4 linked regions of the Caenorhabditis elegans genome follow. The protein of the gene in region 3 interacts with the protein of the main gene of each other region in a pairwise test. Each region holds a gene or a part of one and is shown on either strand. Other genes may lie near its edges.

What was found.
Region 1: the proteins of W08G11.3 (region 3) and mtss-1 interact in a two-hybrid assay, tested with the Caenorhabditis elegans proteins (one large-scale study listed by BioGRID).
Region 2: the proteins of W08G11.3 (region 3) and Y57G11C.1147 interact in a two-hybrid assay, tested with the Caenorhabditis elegans proteins (one large-scale study listed by BioGRID).
Region 4: the proteins of W08G11.3 (region 3) and Y54H5A.2 interact in a two-hybrid assay, tested with the Caenorhabditis elegans proteins (one large-scale study listed by BioGRID).

What each region holds. Positions count from the first base shown.
Region 1 is NC_003281.10:8,766,681-8,769,751, forward strand, and holds mtss-1 (Single-stranded DNA-binding protein, mitochondrial), read left to right. Parts: upstream 1-1,630; 5' UTR 1,631-1,633; coding exon 1,634-1,726; intron 1,727-1,778; coding exon 1,779-1,843; intron 1,844-2,118; coding exon 2,119-2,473; 3' UTR 2,474-2,563; downstream 2,564-3,071. Other genes in the region: Chondroitin sulfate synthase mig-22, read right to left, coding at 1-260, 311-529.
Region 2 is NC_003282.8:14,795,942-14,799,444, reverse strand, and holds Y57G11C.1147 (Protein BRICK1), read left to right. Parts: upstream 1-1,930; 5' UTR 1,931-1,994; coding exon 1,995-2,060; intron 2,061-2,262; coding exon 2,263-2,311; intron 2,312-2,371; coding exon 2,372-2,481; 3' UTR 2,482-2,483; coding exon of another isoform or gene 2,484-2,756; intron 2,757-2,804; coding exon of another isoform or gene 2,805-2,927; 3' UTR 2,928-3,003; downstream 3,004-3,503. Other genes in the region: Y57G11C.14 (uncharacterized protein), read right to left, coding at 1-100; arl-8 (ADP-ribosylation factor-like protein 8B), read right to left, coding at 614-660, 708-1,095, 1,144-1,266; nuo-3 (NADH dehydrogenase [ubiquinone] 1 alpha subcomplex subunit 6), read left to right, coding at 2,484-2,756, 2,805-2,927; coq-3 (Ubiquinone biosynthesis O-methyltransferase, mitochondrial), read left to right, coding at 3,121-3,216, 3,265-3,495.
Region 3 is NC_003283.11:16,365,699-16,372,649, forward strand, and holds W08G11.3 (Trichohyalin), read left to right. Parts: upstream 1-1,982; 5' UTR 1,983-2,010; coding exon 2,011-2,076; coding exon of another isoform or gene 2,077-2,079; intron 2,080-2,688; coding exon 2,689-2,780; intron 2,781-2,951; coding exon 2,952-3,125; intron 3,126-3,905; coding exon 3,906-4,002; intron 4,003-4,160; coding exon 4,161-4,244; intron 4,245-4,296; coding exon 4,297-4,424; intron 4,425-4,520; exon of another isoform or gene 4,521-4,657; intron 4,658-4,708; coding exon 4,709-4,798; intron 4,799-4,855; coding exon 4,856-5,072; intron 5,073-5,138; coding exon 5,139-5,526; intron 5,527-5,851; coding exon 5,852-6,054; 3' UTR 6,055-6,414; downstream 6,415-6,951. Other genes in the region: Serine/threonine-protein phosphatase 2A regulatory subunit pptr-1, read left to right, coding at 71-183, 898-901; srv-34 (G-protein coupled receptors family 1 profile domain-containing protein), read right to left, coding at 6,719-6,937.
Region 4 is NC_003281.10:5,146,502-5,151,103, forward strand, and holds the start of Y54H5A.2 (Protein HGH1 homolog), read right to left. Parts: upstream 3,078-4,602; coding exon 3,019-3,077; intron 2,974-3,018; coding exon 2,715-2,973; intron 2,208-2,714; coding exon 2,093-2,207; intron 1-2,092.

The sequences.
Region 1 (3,071 bases), on a different chromosome or scaffold from region 3:
TGTCCGTTTAGTTTATATGGACTCAAATTGGTTAACTGGGCCAAGTCATTGTCGATTCTTGAAGAGTCAGCAAACAAATGTACACGTGGAACATGGCGCCCAAGAGTTGCATTAATAGAAAGAGCCAATGCAGACTCAGCCATCACTGCGGCCATAACTCGTTCACGTGTACCGAGTTCAGTGGCTGCAAATCGAGTTCTTGTAACCTTTGGAGTAGCGTCTTGATTATGAGGAGGCGCTGGCATATCGTCTTGGTGAACCTAAATTTGATTCTTTCATGAAATTTTGTGTTTTTTTTAAAGCTACTCACAATCCAATGCTCAGATAAATCTTTATATACTCGCCCTTTCTCCAGTGCCGATGGTTCAAGAACATTCGTTTCTGTTTCTTGATTCTGACATGATGTAAATGCAGCCAATGAGCTGGTCAAGTCTATACTTGGTGTGGATGAAAAGAAGAAGAGCGCGAGAGCGGCACCTATAAGGAATCCAAGAAGCAAGTGTATGCCTGTTCGACCGCCGCCGACCATTCTTCGATTCTAAAAAAGGAATAGAGAATTATTAAACTTTTTTTCAAAGCCGGTGAAAAACGTACCAAACAGTCAGCAATACGCCTTGATACAATTCCAATAACGAAGTTTTCTTGTGAAGAAGCTCTGAAAATTTACAATAAGAAAGTGAAGTGAACAAGAGCAAATAGTGATGTTTGAGCATGAATGAGCAGAACACAGGTTAACTGATCAAAGAAAAGCGTGAAAAGACAATACGGGTTTATGAATGAATGCAAAACAGTCGTCATAGAAGATGTGTGTGACAATGCTCGTAAAATGATTGCAGGACATGTGAGTGGAGCGACAACCTTCTTCGGTATGCGATGCAGACGGAAGACAAAAAAAACGAGAAGAGGCTGTGATCGACGCCGACGTTGTAAGAAGGTGTTTGAAGAGATAGTCTTGAGTTGAAAGAGACGCAGACATTATGTTCTGTACTTGACCTGACTAACTAAGGTCATTTTAGAAAATTTAATGTTCGAGGACAGTGAAACCGTTAATAACATGCTATTTTGAGAATGTTTTTCTAATTTCTTAATTTTCAAGATTTTATCTCAATTTTAATTGAATTAGGAAATTAAGTTCGAAATATGACAGATAATTCGTGGGAATAATTAAAATAACATATACATTGGAATTATGAATATCTTTTTAGTAGTTTTAGAATGAACATCTAATAACAATCAAATATAGGAAAATCCGAAATAAGATTTTGAATTTAACGGAATTTTGATAAATTTTATTGGTTTGAATCAATAAAATTGTAGAAATAAAGTGGTTTTTTGCAGTGAAACTTAAAAAATAAAAATAAACCGATGACAAGAGAAAAGCGAGAGAAACACTGAGTAAACTGTGCGGCGTGTTTGCGGAAATCGCGTGCCAGGCTTGCAACAGTGCGCGATTCAACTCCGCCCACAAAAAATGCAATTTTATTTTTGCTTTTCCATATTTAACAGTTGTTTTGAGCCCGTTTTTATTTGTAAAATGTATATACTATGTTTAAATCTTTTCGTTGAACATTTAATATTGAATTTTTAAAAATAACTCATATTTTGCTCAATCGATAAACCAAAATTATAGAAAATGCTTCGTTCACTTTCCACGATCTCCAAGTCTACCGTCCGCTGTATGTCATTGACATCCAAAATGGCTGCTGAGCAACCGAGCAAGCAAGAGGTAAGTTGAAAAACAGCGAATTGTGCAATTATGAAATTTTTGTCTGTTTCAGGTTGATGACTTGTTCGCTGAAAAACCACAACATCATAACCCAGAACAAAGACGGCATGCATACAGGTATGATATGAGTTTTACACAAATGTTAAACTTGCATTTTTCTGAACTAGGAGATTAATAATTTGTATCAAAGTTCCTGCTAGAAAAAATAAAATGTCACAATTTTCAAAAGCACAAACGCAACGATTGACAATAAAAATTACTTATTAAAAAGTCGTTCGAATATTGTTGTAAAATAGCTGTGAAAGATACAATTTCAATTTTGAAAGCATAAAAAAACAAATTTTGAATTCAGATCATATCGATTCAAAATTTATTTATTATCACTATTTCAGTGTGAATAAAGTGGAACTAGTCGGAGGAGTCGCCTTGGATCCATTGTACAAGACTGGAAGGAACGGAAAACCTTACCTCATCTTCAATATCATCACCAACTCGTACTTCAAGCAGCAAGACGGAACTACTCTCGATCAAACTGAACGTCACGCCGTTTCAGTTTTCGGAAAGCAAGCCGAAATCCTTTCAAAAACCATCAAGAAAGGATCCCGTCTTATGGTTCAGGGGAGACTTCATTATTCTGGAGGACAGAAGGACGAACAAGGAAACCGTACACAACGCAACACCTACATCATCGCTCAAACTGTTCAACCATTGGCTCGAGCAGCTAGAGAGAATCCAGATCAACATTAATTTTCAAAATTTTTTAAATATTTAGAATCTCCGATAATAGACCATTGTTGTTGTTTTTGTTGACGAGTTATTTACCTGATTAAACATTATCTCATATTTAAAAAAAAAAGTTTTATTTGATTGCATACCTGGTTTTCTAACCATATTTATTATCTGATCGTTCTTTGAAAGTTCAGCTAAATCAACTTTTGATAAGAATCGGAATTCACTACACTGTCAAAATATTGATTTTTCGTTTTTTCCTCATCATTCCGTCTCTCGCCAGTTGTTCCTCCGAAACAACACAATATCCCTCCCTTTTTCTTGTTTTCTCTCGGGCACTTTGAGCCAATGTTTTAAATTGTTGAAGCAGTTTCACACGATTTAATCGATTTTTTTGTAGAATTGGGAAACCATGAACCGATCTGGACAGCGCTTGATTGTCTCTGCACCTCGGCAGATCGCCTTTTCCACTGCTGTCAGGTATGTGATTGTTTTTTGGTTATGCATTACGTGCAAATAATTATATTTGAAATCATGTTATTTTTTAAAATTTCTATATTCTTCCGAATTGTTTTTTTCCTCCACTATTTTTCTATTGAGATGTTGTTTATCATGT
Region 2 (3,503 bases), on a different chromosome or scaffold from region 3:
TCATTCGATTGACGTGTTTGCCACGTTGCAACAGTTCCCGAATCGCTTTATCCAAATTGTCCATCGTTTTGACTGTACAATCACAATTCACACATTCCATCGCTTGCTTCGAATTTTGAAACTGAAGGAATAATTGATTTCCTTTTTTTTCATTCAACTTTAGAATTTTAAAAATTAGGCTGCAATGCTAGAGCAACACGTTAACTAAATGCCTTAGTAAATTTTCAATTTATGAAAAAGAGTGAAGAAGAGTTAAGGAATTAAGCACATTTGTAAAAAATAATGAGAATGGTTGCAGTGGTGTTGCAAAATGTCCAAAAAAGTGATACACAACATGTACATAAAATTGGAGGGAAATTTCACAACTTTTGAATGGGGATGATGAACATCCCACAGTGAAAGCTACCAAAGAAATAAAACTGGGAGCGAATGGGTTGGGGAAATTGACTACAATTGTGATGAAAAAGACGAGAGAGATTAGTTGAATATGGAGGGGAGGGGATTCAAATAAATAATATCTACAGAATTTTCAAAAAAAAAAGGTTTGATTTAATATATTTTGCGGTGTGAATTGTAAATTTTCGAGTAGATTGAGTCGTGGATTGTGCCTAGTTTAGCGTTGAGCTTTCGAGTGATCGATGAGCCATTGGAGGGTGATATCTGGAAAACAATTCAGTTTAGAATGGTTCAAAGATTTAAAAAATTACCAATATTCTCCTTCTCTTTGCATGAAATAGAATAGCAGCAAATCTCGCGATTCTGGATTGATGACAGATTCATTCTTTCGATCAATTGCCGCTCATCAAGTGCTCCAGGCAAATCCTTCTTGTTTCCGAGCACCAAAACTGGAATAGCGTCGAGCTGTGGCTTGTCCAACAGCTGCATAAGCTCATTTCTGGATGCTTCGAGCTTCTCCTCGTCGGCAGCGTCCACCATGAAGACGATGGCGTTGACACCGCGGCAATATCGTTCCCACATCGAGCGGAACCGTGGCTGGCCCCCGATATCCCATAATTTGATCGTCACGTTGCCTTTGGTGATCTTCCGCATATTGAATCCGACTGTTGGGATCATATCTTCTGTGAATTGGCCGCTCTAAAGTGAAGAACATTGAATTTAAATTTATTTTCCAGAAAAACTAACAGCAATAACATTGACAAATGTCGTTTTTCCAGAGTTTTGGAGCCCAACAAGTGTCAACTCCATCTCCTCTTTCCAAAAAAGACTGCGAATCCAGTCGAGAACCTTATTCACCATAGCCAACATCTTGAATATTGATGTTGAATGAGGAAATTCCTGAAAAGTGCAATTCGATTGAAAAGGGTGTGTGTGTGAGAGAGCACAAAGAAAAACAGAAGGGTTTAACGGAAAACCGCTATTAATTTTGGAGCAAGCTCGCTTTTGCTGTTGAAAAAAAAACAAGTAGAAATATTGATTTTCCTTATCGCAAAATTTATTTTGCAGTAACTTTCACGAAATCAAAACCAATGAATCATCGAGAATAGTCAACAAAACACGTGATGTCTATAAAATTTTGAGAGAAACGTTTCAAAACAATAGAATTGCTAAAAGCAGATAGTTTCATTGGATAATATCGGATTGCAATAAGAGTTTTCAGTGAATATAGTCTTAATTTTTACAAATTTCTCAAGCGGACACAGTTTTTTGCTCAGTTTGCTCGATTTTCTAAAATCTGAATTTACGTTTGTCTAACCCATTCTCAATGAATGTATGGAATTTTTGAAAAAACTAATGAATAATCAGTCTATTTCCTTGAAAATTCTCAAAAAATCGATAGAAAATCCCGAAAATCCGTCGAAAATTACGAAATCCAAAGCCAAATCAGTGCGACAAGGAGCCAATCGAACGACCGCTGACATCAAAGGCGCACGCAGTTTCGAGGACGGGTTTCGCCGCGATCGAGTGTGTCGATTTACGCAGCACGCGGCACACCGGCGACCATCCTTCACCGTTTTTCAGCTTTTCAGCGTTGAATGCACGCTTCGGAAGCCGTTCAACAACAACTAAAGGACGACTGGGATAATCGCGAGTTTGAGCAGGTTAGTAGACGGAAAAAAATGATGGAAATCGATTGAAATGTGAATGAAAATTGATTAAAAATGGTTGTTGAAATTTTTGAATATTTTTAACTGCGGTGTTGAAATAGCTTTTCACTTCAGTAGGTTGTGATTTTATACAATTTTACAACAAATATTCATGTGTGAATTCATATCTCCCACACTAACCCGTACTAACTTTCAGATTATTGCCGATAACATCAAGAACATCGCTAACTTCTTGTCCAGCTTTGGTTTGTAGAAAAATTATTATTTTAAATTAATTCCTTTAAAAAATATCTGATTTCTTCCAGAGCTCTCTTGCCGCACAAAACTAGCGACTCTCAGCGACAAGCTTAACCTTTTGGAACGAAAGGTCGAATTTCTTGAAGCCCGTGTCACCAAAGGAGATACTCTTTCGTAATAATGTCTGCAACTGCCGGAAGAGTCGTCCGTGCCGGACAACACGCCGTTCGCACCGTCGCTCCAATCAAATCCAACAATTCCGCCGAGGCACGCATGTCGGTTCTCGCCGCTTATAAGGAGTTCCAACGTCTCACTCCAAAGTTCTGGTGGGATTTCGGACTTCATGATATGCCGCTCGGCGTGTTCCGTGCTGTCATCAAGAAGCAATTCACAAAGAACGGACATCTCACCGATGTTCGTGTCGTTGACAGACTTGTCGGAGAAACTCATCAGGTTTTTGAATAAAATTTAAATTTTCTAAACTCTAATTGTCACTTTCAGCACATGAAATCGATCCGTTACGCATTCTACAACCCGGATCACGTGCGCAACTACCTGTTCGCTGAAAATGTCGAAGCCAAGCCAAAGGACTTCCTCTCCAAATTCCTCAACGGAAAGGAATAGATTTTTTATTTTTCAGTGTTTTATGTGTAATTGTAAAGTAAATTCTCGTATTTTAAATCGAATCGGCTGATACTAGAAGGAATAAAATCTGATTTTTTGACTTAAAAATTGATTTGGCAGGTTCTACGACCTAATTTTATTTCTTTTTCGATTTTTTTTGTTTATTTTGATTGAATTTTATTTTTCCTGGTAGATGATCCCTTCACGAAGTGCCAGAATCATCGCAAAGCTACAACGACTACACTCGACTACTTCAGCCGCTTCAGTATCTTCTATTGATGTAAAAGAGGTAAAACATATAAAAATAAGCTATTTATCTGTAGAAAAATTATTTTAGGTCGAAAAATTCGGAGACTTGTCTGCAGAATGGGCTGATGAACTGGGTCCCTTCCACGCACTTCACTCATTAAACAGGATTCGAGTTCCTTGGATTGTCGATAATGTTAGAAAAAGCGATCAGAAGGCTCCTCCTCGATTAGTGGACGTTGGAAGCGGAGGGGGTCTTTTGTCGATTCCACTGGCCAGAAGTGGATTCGATGTTACAGGAATTGATGCGACGAAGCAAGCTGTAAGGGA
Region 3 (6,951 bases):
AAAAGTGTCGATTTTTCTGTAAAAATCTGTTTCTGTAAATAATTTTTTTTAAAAAAAAATTCAATTTCAGGACGGTCCAAATATGACGCCACTGCCAGTTGCAACTGCAGGTGGCGGTGATAAATCTCCATCTGTAGTGAAGAAATCGTCAACAGGATCAGAAACGACGACGCCGGCTAAAAAGTGAGCAATTTTGGAGCATGGAAATGTGGATTTACGTGTATTTCCCGAGGAGAAGAAGCTAAAACTGACGATTTTGGACATTTTTTTTGGCTGAAATGCTCGGTTTGGAGCATTTTCGCAGTTAAAAAATTTTATTTCCAAAAAAAAACGAAAAATAAATTATTTTGTAAAAAAATCCAAAAAAAAACTTCTTTTTTTTAAATTATGGTTTTCTCATTGAAATCAACAAAATTTCAAATTCGCCAGTTTTTTTTCAATAAAAAAAATAAGATTTTTCAGCGAGAAATTTCGAGTTTTTTCTTGGTTTTTCTACACTGAAAAACCTGAAAAATCGAAAAAAAAATCCTAAAATGTGTGATTTTCACCAATTTTTCACCTAAGAACCGAACAATTGCGATTTCAATGCTAAATATTAGAAAAATCTGCGAAAATGGTCCAAAATCCAGTTTTTTAAAGCGAAACACCCACTGAAAATAAACTTCTCCTCGGAGAGTACACAAGACCACCGTAAATCGACACACAATATCTTACATTTAAAAAATTAAAATTCCTGGAATTTTTTTGGTTGGAAAATTTATTTTTAAGTCAAAAAAAAATCGCTTCAAAAATCGAATTTTTGAAAAAAAAATTGACTTTCCGTAAGTTTTAGCCGAAAAAATACTTTTCCCGTCAAAAAAATCGCTTCAAGACCCAAAAAAATCTATATTTTTTCAGATAAAGCTCCTATCAATCATTTCTTATTCTTCTTCTTCAAAAAAAAAAACTCGATATCAATGGTGATATATATGATGATAAGCACCTCTTCTATTTTTCCAAAATGCTCTCCGTCTCTGCGTCTCCTTCTTATACACACTCTCTCGTCTTCTGCTGCTGGATCGAAACCATTTTATTTGAAATAAAATCAATCGATAATTGTACACACACAAATCCCCGAAAACCCGCTAAATCACACACATTACCCACCCCACCCCAACCAAAAAATAAACGCCATCATTAATATTATTTTTCTCTTTTTTTATTATTTTTCCTTTTTTCCCCCAAATTTTATTGAATTTCTTCCATTTTTCGCCCTCTTTTCTGAAAATTCGTGTTTTTGCTCACCATGTCTTCGTGTTTTTCTTTTCCCTCTCCACTTTTCCCTTTCTCTCTCTCTCTCGTCGTCGTTTTCCACATATTTTATTCCAGATTTTTCTCTATTCATAATATTTTTGTTGTATCCCAAATTCTATTATCGAGTTGCGAACAAATGGTGATTTTTGGCGGAAAATTAGGGTCTCGCCGCGAAAAAACAATTTGCTACAGCACCCCTTTAAAGGCGCACGATAGCGTCGAGACCTTTTTTAATCAAAAATCGATATTTTCTCCGCAACTGGGTAATATTACTGAACTATTTCAGATTTTTAAATATACATTTTTTTGTGCCCCGTTTTATTTTTTTTTGTATGTCTGTTGTCTCTAGTAGTATCAAATATCAATACCAAAAATAATGTATGGAATATTTTTTAATATTAGTGTTGTAAAGATCCCCCTCCTCCTCAAAATGTCCCAAAAATTGCGAAGAAACAAAAAAATTCACTCTCTCCCCCTCTTTCTCTCTCTCTCTGTATGAATTTTTTGTATTTATATACACAAACATACACACACACATACACACCATATATCGATTGAATTGAACTTTTTCCCCCAAATTTTGAATTCTTTGTGCGATTTTTAGACGAATTTTTTCAGTGCTCAGAGACTGACATTATTGTATCATTGACACCAAAATAGTTGGAAAAAAATGGAAAAGAAATTTTCAGAAATTTTCAGACAAAACGGGTCATTATCATGGACAGCGGACGACGAAGCCGTAGTGGATCGAGAGATAGAGATAGTAGACGCAGACATAAGAAGGTTGTGGATTTACGCGGGATTCGTGTACTCCACGAGGAAAAGAGGATTTTTTCAGTTTTTTTTTTGGCAGGAATTCTTGATTTTGGATCATTTTCGCTAATTTTCGCTGATTTTTTCTAAGTATTTTTCTGTTAAAATCCTAAATTCAAAAAAAAATTTACGAAAAAAAAACGCAAAAAGTAAGAACGAGCCGCGACGCGACACGCAACGCGCCGTAAATCTACCCCAGATATGGCCGAGCCAGAATGGCCTAGTTCGGCAAACTCGTCCATTTCAATTTATGAGGGAAGCCAGAAATCCGTGAAAAATCAGAATTTTGTGGATTTTGATGAGAAAAGCTGAGAAATTACTAAAAATATTGAAAAATTGTAATTTTTCCCAAAAAACGCCAGAAATCGAAAAAACCAGAAAAAAATCCTCAAAATCTGTTGATTTATTCAAAAAAAATTTTTTTAAAATTCCAGAAATTCTATATTTGCTTTCTAAAAACTCCAAAAAAAAAGCCAAAAAATTTTTTTTTGAAAAAATCGAAAAAATCCTCTTGCAAAAATATCATTTTCCACGAGGAGTACACAAAGTCCCAAAAATTTCCGTAAAAATCAATAATTTCAGCATAGACACAAGCGTCGATCCCGTACACGGAGCCGCAGTAGATCATACGAACGGAATGGAACGGCTGGAATTCATATTAATCCAGCTTTTGGGTTGGTTTTTTTGTTATTATTCAGGTCTCGAAACGATCGATTTTTAATTACAAAAAGGATTACTGTAATTCCATATTTCTCGATTTTTATAGGGGAAAAACCAGGAAAATTTCGCGAAAAATTGCCCGAAAATCGGATTTTTCCAAAAGTTTCAATTTTCAAAAATTTCAGACTCCCGCCTGGAACCGTACAACCACAACCAATGGGCTACTCGGCGTCACAGCTTTTGCAGACGAATAATATGTTGGAAGCCGAAATTCATCGGCTGAAAGCCGCGTTGAACGCCGCGCAAGGCGGTCAACAAATTGAAGCTCAGCGGTGTCAAATGCTCCAACAAGAATTGCGGTGATTACATGAATAGCTTCTTCTGCTCCTTGAAATGGAAGAGTTTTACCGCGGCCACGACCGCGACGCAGCTGCATGCGCGGAGCGGCTCATCAAAAAAATTAGCTAAAATGATAAAAAAAATCACAAGCCGCTCCGCGAGCAGTTGCGTCGCGGTCATGGCCGCGGCCGAGGTTCCCAGCTCTGCCATTTCAAGATACGAGGGACTCTGGAAGGCCATGCTTCTGCTGAAAAATCTTTTTTTTTTCTGTTTTTCGAGAATTTTTTAATGATTACTCAGATAGTGATTTTGCTTGATGAAAATATTACGCAGCCGCAAAATTTTTCGAATTTCGTGTCAAAACTACGGTACCCGGTCTCGACACGACAATTTTTGTTAAATTCTAACGGTGTGCGCCTTTAAAGAGTACTGTAGTTTCAAACTTTCGTTATCAATTTTTCATAGATTTTTCACGATTCGTAAATATTTAGGGGTTTTTTTACAAATAAATTGATTTTTCACAGTTTTTCGATAAAAAGCGATTTTTTTTGTTGAAACAACTCAATTATTTAGAACAATAAAAACACCTAAATATCTACGAATCGTGAAAAATTGATAAAATTCCGCAAAAATGGGAGTTTGAAACTGCAGTACTTTTTAAAGGCGCACACCTTTTCGAACTTAACAAAAATTGTCGTTTCGAGACCGCGAATGTCGCATTTTTTGCTGATGTGTAATATTTTAGGAGAATTATAGCAAATATCAAGAAAATTTGAAAAATATATCGATTTTTTGCTCAGAAATGCTCAAATCCAACGAGATCAAGCCAACAAACGATGTAACGAGATAATGTCCGAGAGGAGAATGATGAATGATTCGAAAGTTGAAATGGCAAATGTAAGAGCTGAAAATTCTCTCAAAAACTGGCAAAAAATGGTTGAAAAGCAAGAATTTTAGCCAAAAAATGTGAAATTTTTCGAAAAATGAATTCTTACTTCTCCTCGGGGAGTACACGACCTGCGTAAATGGACAATAAATGTTTATAATACTTTCAGCGAATTAATGGACTAGAAGTGGCGAATCGGATGCTCCGAGATGATGTTACCCAGGCGAGAAATGCGACGGAAGCTAAAGAGGAGGTTTTTATATATAATTTAACGGAAAATTTGAAAACCAAAAAAAAAATTCCAGGAAATCCGAGCAATAACGTATCAATCAGAAATTGTTCGCCAACAAATCAACGCTCTGAACGAACGAAATGCGGCGCTCAAGACGAAATGCGAGACGGTAGTGGCGCAAAATCGTCAGCAGCATGAAGAGTAAGTAGACAGCACGGAGGCTGTTACACTGGTGGCGCAGGCGGTAACGCGCTTGACTGCCAGACGGCTGGGGTTCGGCTCGACCCCCGCTGCCGCATGCACCTTGCACTCTACGCCTTTCCTTTCAATGGGTTGGTATGATTTAATAAGGATGCAAGAGAATAGTACGGGAAGTTCGAAGACTTGCGGATTTGCTTCCACGGCTCCGCGAGTTCATAACTGTCACCACAATTAAAAAAAATTTTTTTTTTCTAATGGAACGCATTTTTAAGACGAGATTTCAGAATGGAAGCCCGTCAAAAGTTCGTGCAAGGTGCTCAGTTAAATGTGAAGAAGGCGGAGGCGGATTTGCAATTGGCCAATGCAGAAATTCAGTGAGTTTTGAGTTTTAAAAAAAGTTTAAGTTTCAGAAAACCGTAAACTAATTTCAGACGTCTGCTCCGAGAACTTGACAGCTCTCAGCAGCTCGAGAATTCGAGCATCACTGACAAAAGAAATATCGAAGAAGAGCTCATCCGGAAAGAAGATGAGATCAGATTGGCAAACTACAAATCAGCAACCTTATTAAAAGCGGCAAATGATAAAATCGAAAAACTCGAGTTACGATTGAAACAAGAAAAACCGGCGGTGCACAATGAGATGACTGTGGTAGGTTTAGCAGGAAATTGACAAAAAACCGGAAAAAATGGGAAAAATTCTAATCACTTTCACAAGTTCCAGGAAACAATATACATTGCCATAGAGACTATCAAAACGACGTACGAGAAGCAGCTGTCCAGAATGGAAGAAGAAATTGAGCATTTGAAAGCTGAAAAGTTGAAGCAGGAGCAGCAACAAATAATGATGGAGGAAGAGGAGGATGCAGTGGTTCAGAATCTCGAGGAACTTCCAGCCTATCTGAAGACTCCAATGAGGCCGGATCCAACGAAGATGGAAGGTCTTAAAAAGACTATTCAAGTGAAGATCAGGCTTGATGAAGAGCCCGAACGCCCGGCTCGGCCGGCTAGTGGACCGCCCGTAGATTCACCTGTGACGTGGCATCAGAGAAAGCCGTTCGAACGGCTCCCAGCGATGGTTGTGCCGCTTTTTGGGACAACTGAAGGTGAGATATTAATCAGGCGCAAAAAATACTGTACTCGGTCTCGAAACAACAAATTTTTATTCAGTGAGAAAAGGCGCAAAAAATTGTCGTGTCGAGACCGTACGTACCGAACTTTTGGTGCAAAATTTTACGTCTGTGTGTGTCAGGCTGTCCCATCACGGTTTGATCTACACAAAAATGCGCGATTTGTTTGCCTAAAAAGTGTGACGTCAGCACGTTCTCAACCATGCGAAATTAATTGAGAAGTCTGCGGCATTTTTTGTAGATCTACGTAGATCAAGCCGAAATGAGACACTCTGACACCACGTGAAACTGACATTTTCAGCACCATCAACAGGACCCGGACCATCCATTTCATCCGAAGATCTCATCACTTCCTCGACAATCGAATCAACGTCCGATGAAATTAGCATTGCCGCCTGCAATCAGTTCTCTGAGGAGGATCTGCTGCTCGCCGAGCCAACTGATATGATATCACCGAGTCAACTATTGGATCTCGATGAGCAGACTCTGCTTGGTGGAGAATAATTTATATTTGTATTACGGGGCTTTAAAATTGCTTCAAAATTCCCAAAATAGTCTGAAAATATTTTTTTTGTTTGGAAAAAAAATCCGAATTCATTTTTCCGAATTTTTTTCCCGAATTATGCTGAACAGCTCCCGCCGCAGATTAGCAAAATTATCAACACTTCCCTTTTTAACAATTTTTGATGATTTTCATACTATTTTCGGGAGTTTTTTAAAAGCAAAATCCCGTCCCCCGCACCCAATTTTTAAAATATTCATTCCCTCGTTCCCCCGATCTGAATTTGTTTTACGGTTCTCCGTGCGTGTGTATGTGTCAATTTTAATAGTAATTTTGAATCAATAAAGTTTTATTATAATAAAAATTCCCTCAACATCGATCTCTAGTACTTGACTGCACAATTTTGGGCGCCATTGACACGGTGCTTTGGGATTTCTGAAATACACAGTTTTTTGGGTGAGCTTTATTCGTACACTGCCCGGTGTCAATTTACGCGGCTCGTGTACTCCTCGAGGAGAAGTGGGAATTTTTTTTGGGCGTAAATCTTTGATTTTGCACTAATTTCGTCAATTTTTGCAGTTAACGTCGAATACAAAAAATTTGGCGAAACTGCGCAAAATGAATATTTTCGGCGAAAAAAGTACTGCAAAATCCTCTACAAAAAATTCACACTTTTCCACTACGAGTACACAAGCTTCGTAAATCGACACGTGGCCGTGGAAGAGGTTTTTCTCTGCCATTCTCTGCCATGAGACCTACCTTAAACCGGCAACAAAACGCGCTCTGAACATCCCGATTCATCATTAATAGCATTATTGGATTAATAAACGATAGATTGCCAGATAGTGTTGGATAAAAAAGACGTAACGCCCGTACTCGGTCATTCTGAATAGGTTACT
Region 4 (4,602 bases), on a different chromosome or scaffold from region 3:
AGTTCGAAATATTCCTTTTGTAAGACTACTGTACCTACAAAACCCTATATCATATTCCTCTTTTCTCCCAACACCAACTATCATTTCCTCGTATCGTAGAACCTATTAATATATCAAACACCGTATTTATTCCAATATTCAAACACATTTCCCCGAGAAAATGTCGCGAATTTGTCACGCGTACAAACTTCTGATACAGCAGCGAAAAGAGTGTGACGACTTATCGCCTTCACAGAATGATTGGTATTCCAATTCCGTGTTAATCAAAAGACAATTGCCGCCGTCGAAAAACCCAAGAAAGTGTCAACACTGGATTACTGTAGGATGGGCGTGAAGACTAACGGAAAGAGCAAAGTTTGTGTTGGCTCCATGCTGTTCTGTTACATAACTCAAGTAGATTGACCTCGCGCCAGTTACATAATCATTATCAGCTTGAGATTTATGAAGTGAAAGGTGTCAGTGTGGGGGGACTGACTGGGGCTGTTTGTACTTGGAGCCATTAAAATTTAACGACGTACGGTGTGAGGACTGATAACGGAGGTGATATGTGTGTGTTGACCAATGTGTTGTGTTTGACGCTTGATGAAGCGACACTAATTGGCGAGAATACAGAAGCAGGTAACATTTCATGGAATGCTATAGGACAGAAAGTTTGATGATAGCTGCGCCGAATGATTTGGGCAGATTAGAATCTTAGCACGGAATACTGTACACTGAAAACGAAAAATCCCCTTTCATAGTTACGAAATTTTGTTCAAAAGGGCACACTAACACTATGAAAAAGAAGAAATCAAGTTAAAATACTATTTCAAATTTTAAAAAAGTTTAACGAAAACGATTATTCAGTTCAGCGAAATCGCGGTACCATCTTTTGAATTTTAATTTCGTTTTTGCATTTAATTTCTAGTATTTTCAAGTTACAGACTATGATTGAATTTACCGTTTCAGTCAATAATCTTCATACCTACCGTACTCCTTTTTAACTTCATAACACAATAGAATCTAGCATATTTGTGTATTTCATTACGTGCTCGCTGCCTCTGCTAACTGATAACCAACAAATAGGACCAAACACACTAATACGATAAACTAGGCGCTGGTAATCCCCTTAGTTTTGTCGGCATCTTCCTTTCAACCACCCCACTGTAATACTATTATCAACGTGTCTTTTTTCATCAATTTTATAAGGCTGAAATAAGTCGATGCAGAAGGTGTACAATTCGCCACATTTGATCACCTCCGTCAATTATTTGAAAAAGTGAGCTGTCACCGAACATTGAAAGAAAGAGGAAGGACAAGAAGAGGGACGAGCAAGGTTATTTAGGAAAAAGAAGAATCAATCAAAAGATGGATGACATGAAACACAAGCTAATAAGCGTGTGTAGAGGATATTGGGTAATATGTAACTCAAGGACAATACTACCGAAAAAAAACAACATTTAGATTATGTGGTTACTGTAGTTTCGAGAATTGAATGAGGATTTGTTTTTACCACACGAACCGTAGTTTCTCGATTAGATTCTCGTTGAATTTATTTTCCTATGAGATCTATGAAGAGGAATGTGAAAAAGTTTTCAGTTTTTGGGTCCTGGCACGAAAGAAACTATTCGACTATAGTAACCTCGAGCTATTTGTGTGATTTGAAAGTTAAAAATACGGTATATGGTCTCTACACGACAAGTTTTCGCTAAATGAAAAATGATGTGCGGTTTTACGGGGTACTGTAATTAATTTCAAATTATTGTTTTAAAAATCTATGAATATTCCGCGGCAACTACAGTACTCTTTAACTTGTCGTGTTGAGACCAGTCATCGTTTTTTTGGTACAAAAATCACATAATCTCACGTCTGGAAAATTAAAAAACTTTTTAGAATATTTTCAATATTTTTCATTAATTAGTGTAAAATTATCTACCATACTCTCGGCTACGGTAGCTGGAATATTTCACTCGCATCAGGACCAAATGGTGTTCTAAAAGTCACTTTTTCAAGAGTAGGTAATTAAAAATTTTGAGAAAGAATTTTTGAAACTCAAAAAACATTTTTAATTCAATTTTTGAAGTATATTTTGAATTCACCAAAAGAAACTCACTGAGCAGTTGTCCAATATAATTCGCATTTCGTGCTTTCAACTTATGATCAACACGATCTGGGAAATGGCGGGAAACATTGACAAGCAGACGAGAGGCAACTGACGAATACAAGGCCTGAAAGAAAAACACTTAAAGTCGGGGGATTACGAGTACTTGACACAACTACTACTTATGGTATAAGGTTACCACTCGTTCTTTTTATCCAAAATATTAGTCTTTCTCTATATTCTTATTGTATTTATATTAACCAGAAACGAAATTTCACAATTTTTGCGCAGAAAATACGGTACCCGGTCTCGAAGCGACATTTTTTTTCTTAAATTCAAACGGATGCGCACCTTTAAACACTACTTCAAAATCTCGTTTCTGCGGAATTTTCTTCGTTTTTGAATAAAAATTTGTTTTAAAAAAAAAAATATTTAAACACTGATATTAACAAGTTTGTGAATAAATTTTCGCAGCAAACGAAAGTTTGAAATTACAGTTTTTTGAGGCGCACATATTCTGCATTTTGAAAAGTCGTGGCGAGACCGGGTACCGTATTTTTGGCGCAAAAAACGCAAAATTACGCGTCTATGTAATATTATGAAAGCGTTGAATATTACTTTAAAATTCCCTTACATTAGTAACAACTGCAGTATAAGCAATTTCCACACATTTTGATTTATCCAATACAAAATCAGCGGCTTCAATGGAACCAGAAGTGAAGTTTGTGAGAGCTGCCAGAGTTTCAGTTCGATCCGAAGAAGTTGCTTCACATAACTGACAAATCGCTTTTCCCAGAGCAAAATCTTGAGCTTGGAAGTATTTTCCAGCAGATCCATCGAGCGGTGTACCCAGTTGAGTGACAACTTCCATTGTTTTACGACGAACAATTAATCTGGAATTGGAATTTTCAATTAAGAATAATAACCTCAGTTCTTACGACATAGTCGGTGAGAGGAGCTTCACCAAATCATCGACGCTTACTTCCAGGTCAGTCATCTAGAAATAAATAATTATTTTTAAATTCAGGATTTCATTTCAATTCGTTTTTAAATTTATGTTATATTTCTTCCGATTATCACTTTTTAAATACATTTTTCACACAACGCCTGATTTATTTCTAGAACCCCTTGAGTTTTCTATCTCTAGTATGAACTCAATTCTCTAAACTTCAAATTCCCTGCTAGACTGCAACAAATTTTGACGTCAAAATCAACTTGTCACACCCATAGTCTAGTTAACAATCACTTCAATTCTATTTTACAGTATACCTCATTCGCCCACCCGGGTACGCGTCCTTCTCACCGACAAACATCTCGAATCTTGCAGCTTCAGCGCCAATCCTCACAGTCGGCCACTTCAAAAGTGCGCGAATGTGTAAGGTGGCGGGTTACTGTAAGTCTTTTGCGGTTGAGAGTGAGAAATTGGGGACAAAAAGTCAGGTTGAAGTGTGCTTTTCGGACGTTGCGGCTCGTGTACATCTCACACTTGATGTGCACAAAAGAACGGACACTCCAGATTGAAAAAAACTAGAAAAGGGTTCCTGACTACCGTAATCCAATGGGATATGCATGGTGATTGTTGATGCAACACTACTTTGGAAAACAAACGGTCCAGAGTTACGTCATCTACAAGCAATGGACCACCGGATAATGTGGACAAAGTTGCATAATCAGAGTTGAATATCTGGTTGCTAAGACCGATTAATGCTATTTGGATGTTTATCTCCCCAAATTTCAATGTTGATCAAATAAAACTGAAAACTTGATGGAATAAATATCAAGTTTCATTTTATATTAATTATCTAAATTTGATAAGTTTAAACAATAGGGGAGCTTCACAGTGAAAACCCATACATTTCAAACCCCATGCCACACTTCGTCCACACGGCTGTTCCTAATCCAAGACCTCTTCGTGTCATAAAATATTAGATGTTTCCATTTTCCTGACACAATCCATACCATGGGTGTTTTATACCGCATTACACTTGATAATAAACGAGGTATCAGGTGTGAACAAAATGGTGAGGAATTGCTTATAAATTTGACGGAAGAGAATAGGGAAAAGGATTACTTATTAGTAAAAGCTAAAGGGGATTATTATCTAGATCTAGAGATTCTTCGCATCGAATGATTTTCAACATGCTCTTGAAGGATATGACTGTTATTGCACAACAGAAAACAACATGATATCATCAAACATGTGTTCATGTAATAACATCAAAAGAAGCATTTGGTTGCGAAGCGGAACCATTTTCAGTTTGAATGAAAAATATGAGTTAATCGCACAGATTATGATTTTAAATTGCTTTTTAATTGGTCGTGTAGAATTATCGAATAGGATCTGACTTTTTGACAATTGTATCCGAATACGAGTCTAGAATTCCAATTCCAAGTAAATTCAGAGTTCTCGCTCATTTATCGTAAACAACAGACTGACAGCACACTTTCAGTACAAAAAGCCGCTTTTTTTCAAATCTTCTGATCCGGATGCACAGATTGACCTGTTGCCGTCACCAAACAAC